2 linked regions of the Macaca fascicularis genome follow. The protein of the gene in region 1 purifies or fractionates together with the protein of each later gene. This does not show direct contact. Links are inferred from orthologs where the notes say so. Each region holds a gene or a part of one and is shown in the gene's direction. Other genes may lie near its edges.

What was found. Proteins that work in one complex are often made in the same cells at the same time.
Region 2: the proteins of CASP10 (region 1) and FASLG purify together in Homo sapiens (co-immunoprecipitation; 3 studies listed by BioGRID and IntAct, with this or other methods). This does not show direct contact. The link is inferred for Macaca fascicularis from reciprocal best matches to the Homo sapiens genes CASP10 and FASLG.

The regions. Positions count from the first base shown.
Region 1 is NC_088386.1:96,978,678-96,982,323, forward strand, and holds part of CASP10 (caspase-10), read left to right. Parts: intron 1-239; coding exon 240-348; intron 349-1,234; coding exon 1,235-1,727; intron 1,728-3,646. UniProt on the Homo sapiens protein: Involved in the activation cascade of caspases responsible for apoptosis execution. Recruited to both Fas- and TNFR-1 receptors in a FADD dependent manner. May participate in the granzyme B apoptotic pathways.
Region 2 is NC_088375.1:30,264,075-30,268,331, forward strand, and holds the start of FASLG (tumor necrosis factor ligand superfamily member 6), read left to right. Parts: upstream 1-1,438; 5' UTR 1,439-1,658; coding exon 1,659-2,003; intron 2,004-2,554; coding exon 2,555-2,600; intron 2,601-4,257. UniProt on the Homo sapiens protein: Cytokine that binds to TNFRSF6/FAS, a receptor that transduces the apoptotic signal into cells. Involved in cytotoxic T-cell-mediated apoptosis, natural killer cell-mediated apoptosis and in T-cell development.

The DNA.
Region 1 (3,646 bases):
CTGGGAGCAGAGGTTGCAGTGAGCCGAGATCGTGTCACTGCACTCCAGCCTGGGCAATAAGAGTGAGACTCTGTTGCAAAACAACAACAACAACAACAACAACAAACATGGTTTAAACAACTGGCATGGAGAGATACATCCTGCTCTTCCTCACAGTGGACCCATTGGTATAGTTGGTTAGAAACATTTAAGGCCCTAAGACGAGGATTCCTACTAAGTGGCTCTATCTGTTCTTCAAGTGGGCACCTACGTACAGGATGGATCGGAACCACAGAGGCCTCTGTGTCATTGTCAACAACCACAGCTTTATCTCCCTGCGGGACAGACGAGGAACCCATAAAGATGCTGGTAAGAAAGTCTAGCATAGTTTATCAAGTGCAAATTGGGGATCTTAAAATTATTTTTTATTTTCACATTTTTTTCTGTGACTTTTATTTTCCATATATGTGTAAGGATGATTATTATGTTTCTGAGCCTCTTGTATATCCCTGGGGCATCACCCAGTCTGCTAAAGAGTAGCAAGAGTCTTTGACTATTCACAATTCTGAATAGAGGAGAGCGTGTACTGGGGGAGAGCATGCTGGACTGGCACGAGACAACCTGGGTGTGAGCTCCAACTCCACCACTAACTAGGTGTGTGATCATGGGAGAGTCAAGAGACCTCAGCTTCTTCAACTGTGAAACAGATGAAATGAAACACTGGCCACTGCCAATTCTCAGGACTGTTGTGACAACACTGGGTATTACATGATAGGAGATTCATTGTAAGATTTTATGGTTATGAAAATAAAAATAATCCAAAGCTTTAGGCTATTTGCTGTGCAATTTTTGTAACTATTAGCATCATTTCATTTTTTTTTTTTGGAGACATAGTCTTGCTCTGTTGCCCAGGCTGGAGTGCAGTGGTGTAGTTGCAGCTCACTGCAACCACTGCCTCCCAGGCTCAAGCCATTCTCATGCCTTAGCCTCCCGAGTAGCAGGGATTACAGGCGTGAGCCACCACACCTGGCTAATTTTTGTATTTTTAGTAGAGATGGTGTTTTGCTATGTTGGCCAGACTGGTCTCAAACTCCTGACCTCAAGTGATCCACCTGCCTCGGCCTTCCAAAGTGCTGAGATTACAGGTGTGAGCCACTGCACCCGGCCTTGTTTAAGTTCTTCCTTTTGTTTTGCATCATTTTTTTATTTCCCCTTTCTCTCTCTCTCTCTCCTTTTTTTTTTCTTTTTTAAACAGAGATCCTGAAGGGTGTGTTCCAGTGGCTTGGGTTCACAGTGCATATATACAATAATGTGACGAAAGGGGAAATGGAGGAGGTCCTGCAGAAGGAGAAGTGCAATCCAGCCCATGCCGACGGGGACTGCTTCGTGTTCTGTATTCTGACCCATGGGGAAGACGGAGCTGTCTACTCTTCGGATGAGGCCCTCATTCCCATTCGGGAAATCATGTCTCACTTCACAGCCCTGCAGTGCCCTGGACTGGCTGAAAAACCTAAACTCTTTTTCATCCAGGCCTGCCAAGGTGAAAAGATACAGCTTTCCAAATCCATCGAAGCAGATGCTCTGAACCCTGAGCAGGCACCCACTTCCCTGCAGGACAGTATTCCCGTCGAGGCTGACTTCCTACTTGGTCTGGCCACTGTCCCAGGCTATGTATCCTTTCGGCATGTGGAGGAAGGCAGCTGGTATATTCAATCTCTGTGTAATCATCTGAAGGTCTTGGTCCCAAGGTGAGAGTTCTTTTTTTTCTTTCATTTTTAATTAATTAGTTTTATTTATTTTTTATTTTACTCTCATTCAACACCTTTGGTAAGGGTGAGAGTTCTAAATTGTTCTGTCCATGTACCTGTTCATCCATCTGCCTACCTTTCTGTTTATCTATTTATCCATCTATCCATCTATCCATCCATCCATCCATCCATCCATCCATCCATCCATCCATCCATCCATCCATCCATCTAGCAACCTTGTATTGAGTACCAGCCTGGACCTGGAAAGGAAGATAAAGTTAAAAAAAAGACAGGGTCATTGCCCTCAGGTTGCTTATAAGCTAGAGGGATAGACAAACAGACGGGGAAGGGCATCCCCAGCTGGTAAGTGCACATTGTGAAGTATAGGTGTTACGGGAACATGCAGAATGACTACCTTGCCCAGATTTGAAGGATGAGAGGAAGCTTCTAGAAATGACAAATAGATGTTAGGTAAAGAATCAGGTGAAAGATATGCTGGGCAGAGGGAGTAGTGTGAACAAAAGCATGGGGGCCTTTTATTTGTTCCTTTGTTTATTTATCACTCACTCCTATTTCCTGAGCACTTATGTGCTATCTTTGGCATTCTATTTGTCACTGCTCTGACAGATTGCCTTCTGTCTTTGCCACATGCTCTCCTCTTGGCAGCTTTAGCTATATCTAGAGGCCATGGGCACCTCCATGAAAACGTCTCCAAAGTTGCCATCTCTGGCCCACTCGTCTCTGAATTCCTGGGGGGCAGAGACCCTGTTTCATTTAACTTTATATCCTCAGCCCCTGACCTGATATATTGTGAGCTTGTTAAACATTTGCTGGGCCAATGAATGACTTGCTTGAGCCCATCTCATTAACAGCCCGCTAGATATCCTACCTCTGTTTAGCCCTTGGACCTCACATTCAGCATACATGTTTCTGAGCTCATCTTCCCAGCCTTCTCCAGGAGCTCCTGAATTTCCATTTGAAGGAATGGCCGTAGTGCTCTTCTGGGAATTCAGGATTGGAGTCTTCAGTCAACTTTGCTTTTCTCTCTTCTTTACCAGCCCCTCCATCCTCATCACAGACATCAGAGGCTAATGTCTATGGCTTCAGTAACAAGGCAATATTTATTGAGGTCATACTATGTGCTTACTGTACTGGGTATCGAACTGGGGGCTGGAGGTGCAGCTGTGTACAAGAGAGACAAAATCTGCTCTCCAGGGAGCTAAAAGTCCAGTAAAGGAAGGACAGATAATAAAAATATGTGAATATTTAAATTATTATTATTTTAAAAATTCAACAATATTAAAAGGAGACAGTATACATGCATAATTAAGCAATGTCTGGTTTTTTTTTGGTACTCCAGAAATTTCTTTGTTATTTTTAATTAATACTTCATAACTACATATTTCAGGGTTATAATTTGATATTTCAATACATATATGTGTTGTATAATGATCAAATCAGGGTAGTGTATCCATCACCTCATGCATTTATCATTTCTTTGTGGTGAGAACCTCTAAAAGCCTCTCTTCTAGCTATTTTGTAATATACAACACCTTACTGATTGATCGATTGATTTAAATATGGGATCTCACCATGTTGCCCAGGCTGGTCTTGAACTTCTGAGCTCAAGCAATCCTCCTGCCTTAGCCTTATAAGTAGCTAGGATTGTAGGCTCAAGCCACAGTGCCCAACTCAGAATGCCTTACTGTTAACCATAGTCACCCCACTGTGCAACAGAACACCAGAGATTATTCCTCCTATCTAATTGTAACTTTGTACCCACTGACTAACCTCTCCTCATCTTCCCTTCCCTCCTTCCCTCTCATCTCCATAATTGCTGTTTTACTCACTGCTTCTACGATATCAACTTTTTAAACAAAGATTCCACATGAGTGAGAACATGCAGATTTTTTTGTGAG
Region 2 (4,257 bases), on another chromosome or scaffold:
CAACAACAGAAAAACAAAGAAATAGGACACAGAGTTAAATTTGAATGTCAGTTATATGATGAATAATTGTTTAGTGTATTCCATGTTTGGACGTGTTTAAGACATACTCGTCCTAAAAATTATGTATTATTTATCTGAAATTCAAATTTAACTGGGCACCATGTATTTAATCTGGCAACCATAACAGGGACAGGACACAGAAATATCGGCAAGGACCAGGCAGGCCTTTCAGATGGTGAGGTGATGTGTGAGACACAGGCCGCTGGCGGAGGCTGGGTGACCCAGAACACCTGTCGCTCATTCTCAGGAGCAGCTGCTACCTACTTCCCACTGATTGGGTTTGCAGAGATGGCCTCGAGGGTGTCTGATATTCTGATATTGCAAAACAGAACAAAAATATGTATTTTAATGTGTATTTAAAATGTATATATATTAAAATATTTTTAATATTGATATTAAAAGTGGTCAATTGGGCTGAGTGCAGTGGCTCATGACTGTAATTCCAGCACTTTGGGAAACTGAGGTGGGAGGATGTCTTGAAGCTAGGAGTTTGAGACAAGCCTGGGCAACATAGCGAGTCCCCATCTCTACAAAAATAAATAAATAAATAAATTAGTCAGGTGTAGTGACTCATGCCTATAATCCCAGCTACTTAGGAGGCCAAGGCAAGAGGATTGCTTGAGCCCAGGAGTTTGAGGCTGCAGTTAACTATGATAGCACCACTCCACTCCAGCTTGGGTGACAGAGTGAGACTCTGTCTCTATTTAAATAAATACGTAAATAAATAAGCTGGGCAAACAATGAAAATGAAAACATTGTGAAATACAAAGCAGTTCTGTGGGTTCCACTGTTTGCAGCCTCTGATCTAATTTCTAAAGAGGGTGTAGCAGGTTTTTTAACCTGTAAATTATGGTGATTGGCAGGTCAGGGTAAATGGTAGTTGTGTGTGGGGAAGCGATGATGGCAACAGGTGTTTTCCTCCTGCAAAAACTAAAATGTGGGAGTGACTTCTCTGGCCATGGCTCCATGGTCTCTCCCCTCAGAGCCAATTTCAGTAAAATTTTTATAGTTTAAAAAATATGGTTCTGAACAATTTTTGTTAGAGGTATTTTGGTATTTTTAAATAGTTTTTTGGTCGTATACATGGTAGAATTCTTAACATTATACAATTATAATGTATAAAAAAGGATACAATTATAATTCATAAAATTATAGCCCCACTGGCCATTCTCCTGTAGCTGGGAGCAGTTCACGCCAACAGGGCTCTACCCCAATGCTGACCTGCTCTACAGGATCCCAGGAAGGTGAGCATAGCCTACCAACCTGTTTGGGTAGTACAGCGATAGCAACTGAGGCTTCCAAGGCTTTCGTCAGAAGATTGTGGGCGGAAACTTCCAGGGGTTTGCTCTGAGCTTCTTGAGGCTTCTCAGCTTCAGCTGCAAAGTGAGTGGGTGTTTCTTTGAGAAGCAGAATCAGAGAGAGACATAGAGAAAGAGAAAGACAGAGGTGTTTCCCTTAGCTATGGAAACTCTATAAGAGAGATCCAGCTTGCCTCCTCTTGAGCAGTCAGCAACAGGAGTCCTGTCCTTGACACCTCAGCCTCTACAGGATTGAGAAGTAAAACCGTTTGCTGGGGCTGGCCTGACTCACCGGCTGCCATGCAGCAGCCCTTCAATTACCCATATCCCCAGATCTACTGGGTGGACAGCAGTGCCAGCTCTCCCTGGGCCCCTCCAGGCACAGTTCTTCCCTGTCCAACCTCTGTGCCCAGAAGGCCTGGTCAAAGGAGGCCACCACCACCGCCGCCACCGCCGCCACTACCACCTCCACCGCCATCACCACTGCCTCCACTACCGCTGCCACCCTTGAAGAAGAGGGGAAACCACAGCACAGGCCTTTGTCTCCTTGTGATGTTTTTCATGGTTCTGGTTGCCTTGGTAGGATTGGGACTGGGGATGTTTCAGCTCTTCCACTTACAGAAAGAGCTGGCAGAACTCCGAGAGGTAAGCCTGCTGGCAGACTGCTGTGCCCTGGAGGCACCAGGCATAAGGGGGTGGAGGGCCCACTGCCTGGCTTGCAAAGTGCTTTTCAATCCTTTTTTTTTTTTCTTAGAAATGGGTTGTTCTAGTTATTCTATTCTATAGGCAGAGAAATGGAGGCTCATAGGAGTGAAGGGAATATTTTTTATTTTGTAAAGAATCAGAGCCCAACAGTTTTTCTTTCCTCAGTTGTCAACTCAGTCTGTTGAACCACTTACTGCCTCATACCTAGTGATTTAAGGAGTAAAAAACAAACAAAACTTTTAAGTTTTGCTTGGAAGTAAATTTGTTCAGATGACCAAACTAAATCTTGAAAATACTTAAAATACTGGTACGATTTCAAATCACAAAACTGAGGGACAGTGAAGCAAAATTGCTTGACCAAAGCCTGAGTCAGCAAAAGTTCTGAGGTATTTGGATTCTCTTTCCAGGGCTTGGTTTATTTGACGATTCTGTCTCTTTTGCTTAAATAATTTTATTTTTATTATGCATCTTTTTTCTTTCTCTTTTACTAGTCTACCAGCCAGAAGCATACAGCATCATCTTTGGAGAAGCAAATAGGTGAGTCCTTTTTCACATGTACATTGAGTTCCTAAAGGTGATCCTCAGCACTGAAATATGTTAATGGAATGCCTTATATTCTGTCCTACACTTTGGCTTATGTATACTATGAGAGGAATCCTGGCTAATTCGGAATCTCTGGTCAGTATGATTCCTTGAGCTGCTTTAAAAATGTGAAGTGAATTGAATTGCTCACAATCAATATAGCTGAGCACGGCACACAATTCAAAATCACTTCCGCTTGACTTTGGAAAGAGACACACATATACAACCGTGGACTTTTGCCCCCTGAGCAGTGGTTCCAGGCCTGTCCCCTTCCACAGACACCCTGGTCCTGGCACACATGCCAGTGGCTATGACTTCTGGGAAGAGAAGGCGAAGTGAAGGCAGAGACAGATGTTTCTGAGAAACGTCCTCTCCTCTTTTAAAGCCTCTAAAGAGATCACAGTGAAACTTTATTTATAAAATGTTTTATAGGATGTAAGCTTTTAAAATGTGGCTAATCAATTCCGTACATTAGAATGGTTTTTCTTGAAGTCACTGAGAAGCTGAAGGGAAGACTTCAGCCATCATTCAAAGGATGTTCAGCTTCAGAGGCAGTCATGAGGTACCCTTGATCACAAAGGAAAATCCTTTGTATGGGAGCTAGGGCAAGAAGACGATATGTTGGAACACTGATCTCGTGAAATTTCAGGGCATAGTTTTGCAAGCTCTGTACAGATGGATTTTACAATGTGCTTCACTAGCCTAAGATTCATTGAAATTTTAGATTTAGATTTACAATGAGATTCACTGAAGGTTTAGAGTTGGAAGGAAGCTTAGAATATCTAGTCCAGCCATTTCATTTTTTTGGAAGAGAAACAAAATGCCAGACAGATTAGGTGAATATGCCCAAGACCCCTAGTATGGAACTGGGGCTAGAAGGAACACAGGCTCTTGATGCCTTGTCACCTACAGGGCTTTCCGGTACTGGACTGGTGCCTCATGAAGTAGGGAAACTCCTGTCTCTCTGTAGTGAGCATGGAGTGAGAAATAGAGGAAAAGCAGGATACCTCTGCAAAGACTATAGATAGATCGCATCCTTAGAAACTCAGAATAAAGAAGAAGGCAGCACTGGCCATCTATTAAGTGAAGTAAGTTTCAGTTTCTCTGGATGTGGCTACTGCAGGCAACCCAGTCGCCTGTCTACTGTCCTAGACTGTTAAGTTCTTATAGGAGCCACTGTTGGGAAGCTCTGGCCCCTGAGTCTGTGTCCTAATCCTTAAATGTTAGAAAGTCCATATGTACACAAGCAGAGTGGAAATATTTGCTAGAAAAATAAAGCCTCTGGAGGATGTCTCAAATAAGATCATTTTGAAAACCTGTGGAATGTGCCTGGTCTGATAGGTACCTAAGCATTCATCTTTTACCTCCTCTCTGGAGTCAATTTAGTGATTAAAAATCAAATGACCAGACGAGTCATGTCCATCTACCCCAGTAAGCAATTATCTTCTCTAGATCAACCCAGATGAACCAGAAATTGTTAAATTATCACAAGGAAATCAAATCAGTAACTTTACTAATAAGAAAAGAGATGCAAACTAAAAATAGGGAACACCAATTTTCATCAAATTAGTAAAGTTAACAAAAACCCAGACTGACAAAGATTTGAAAGAAA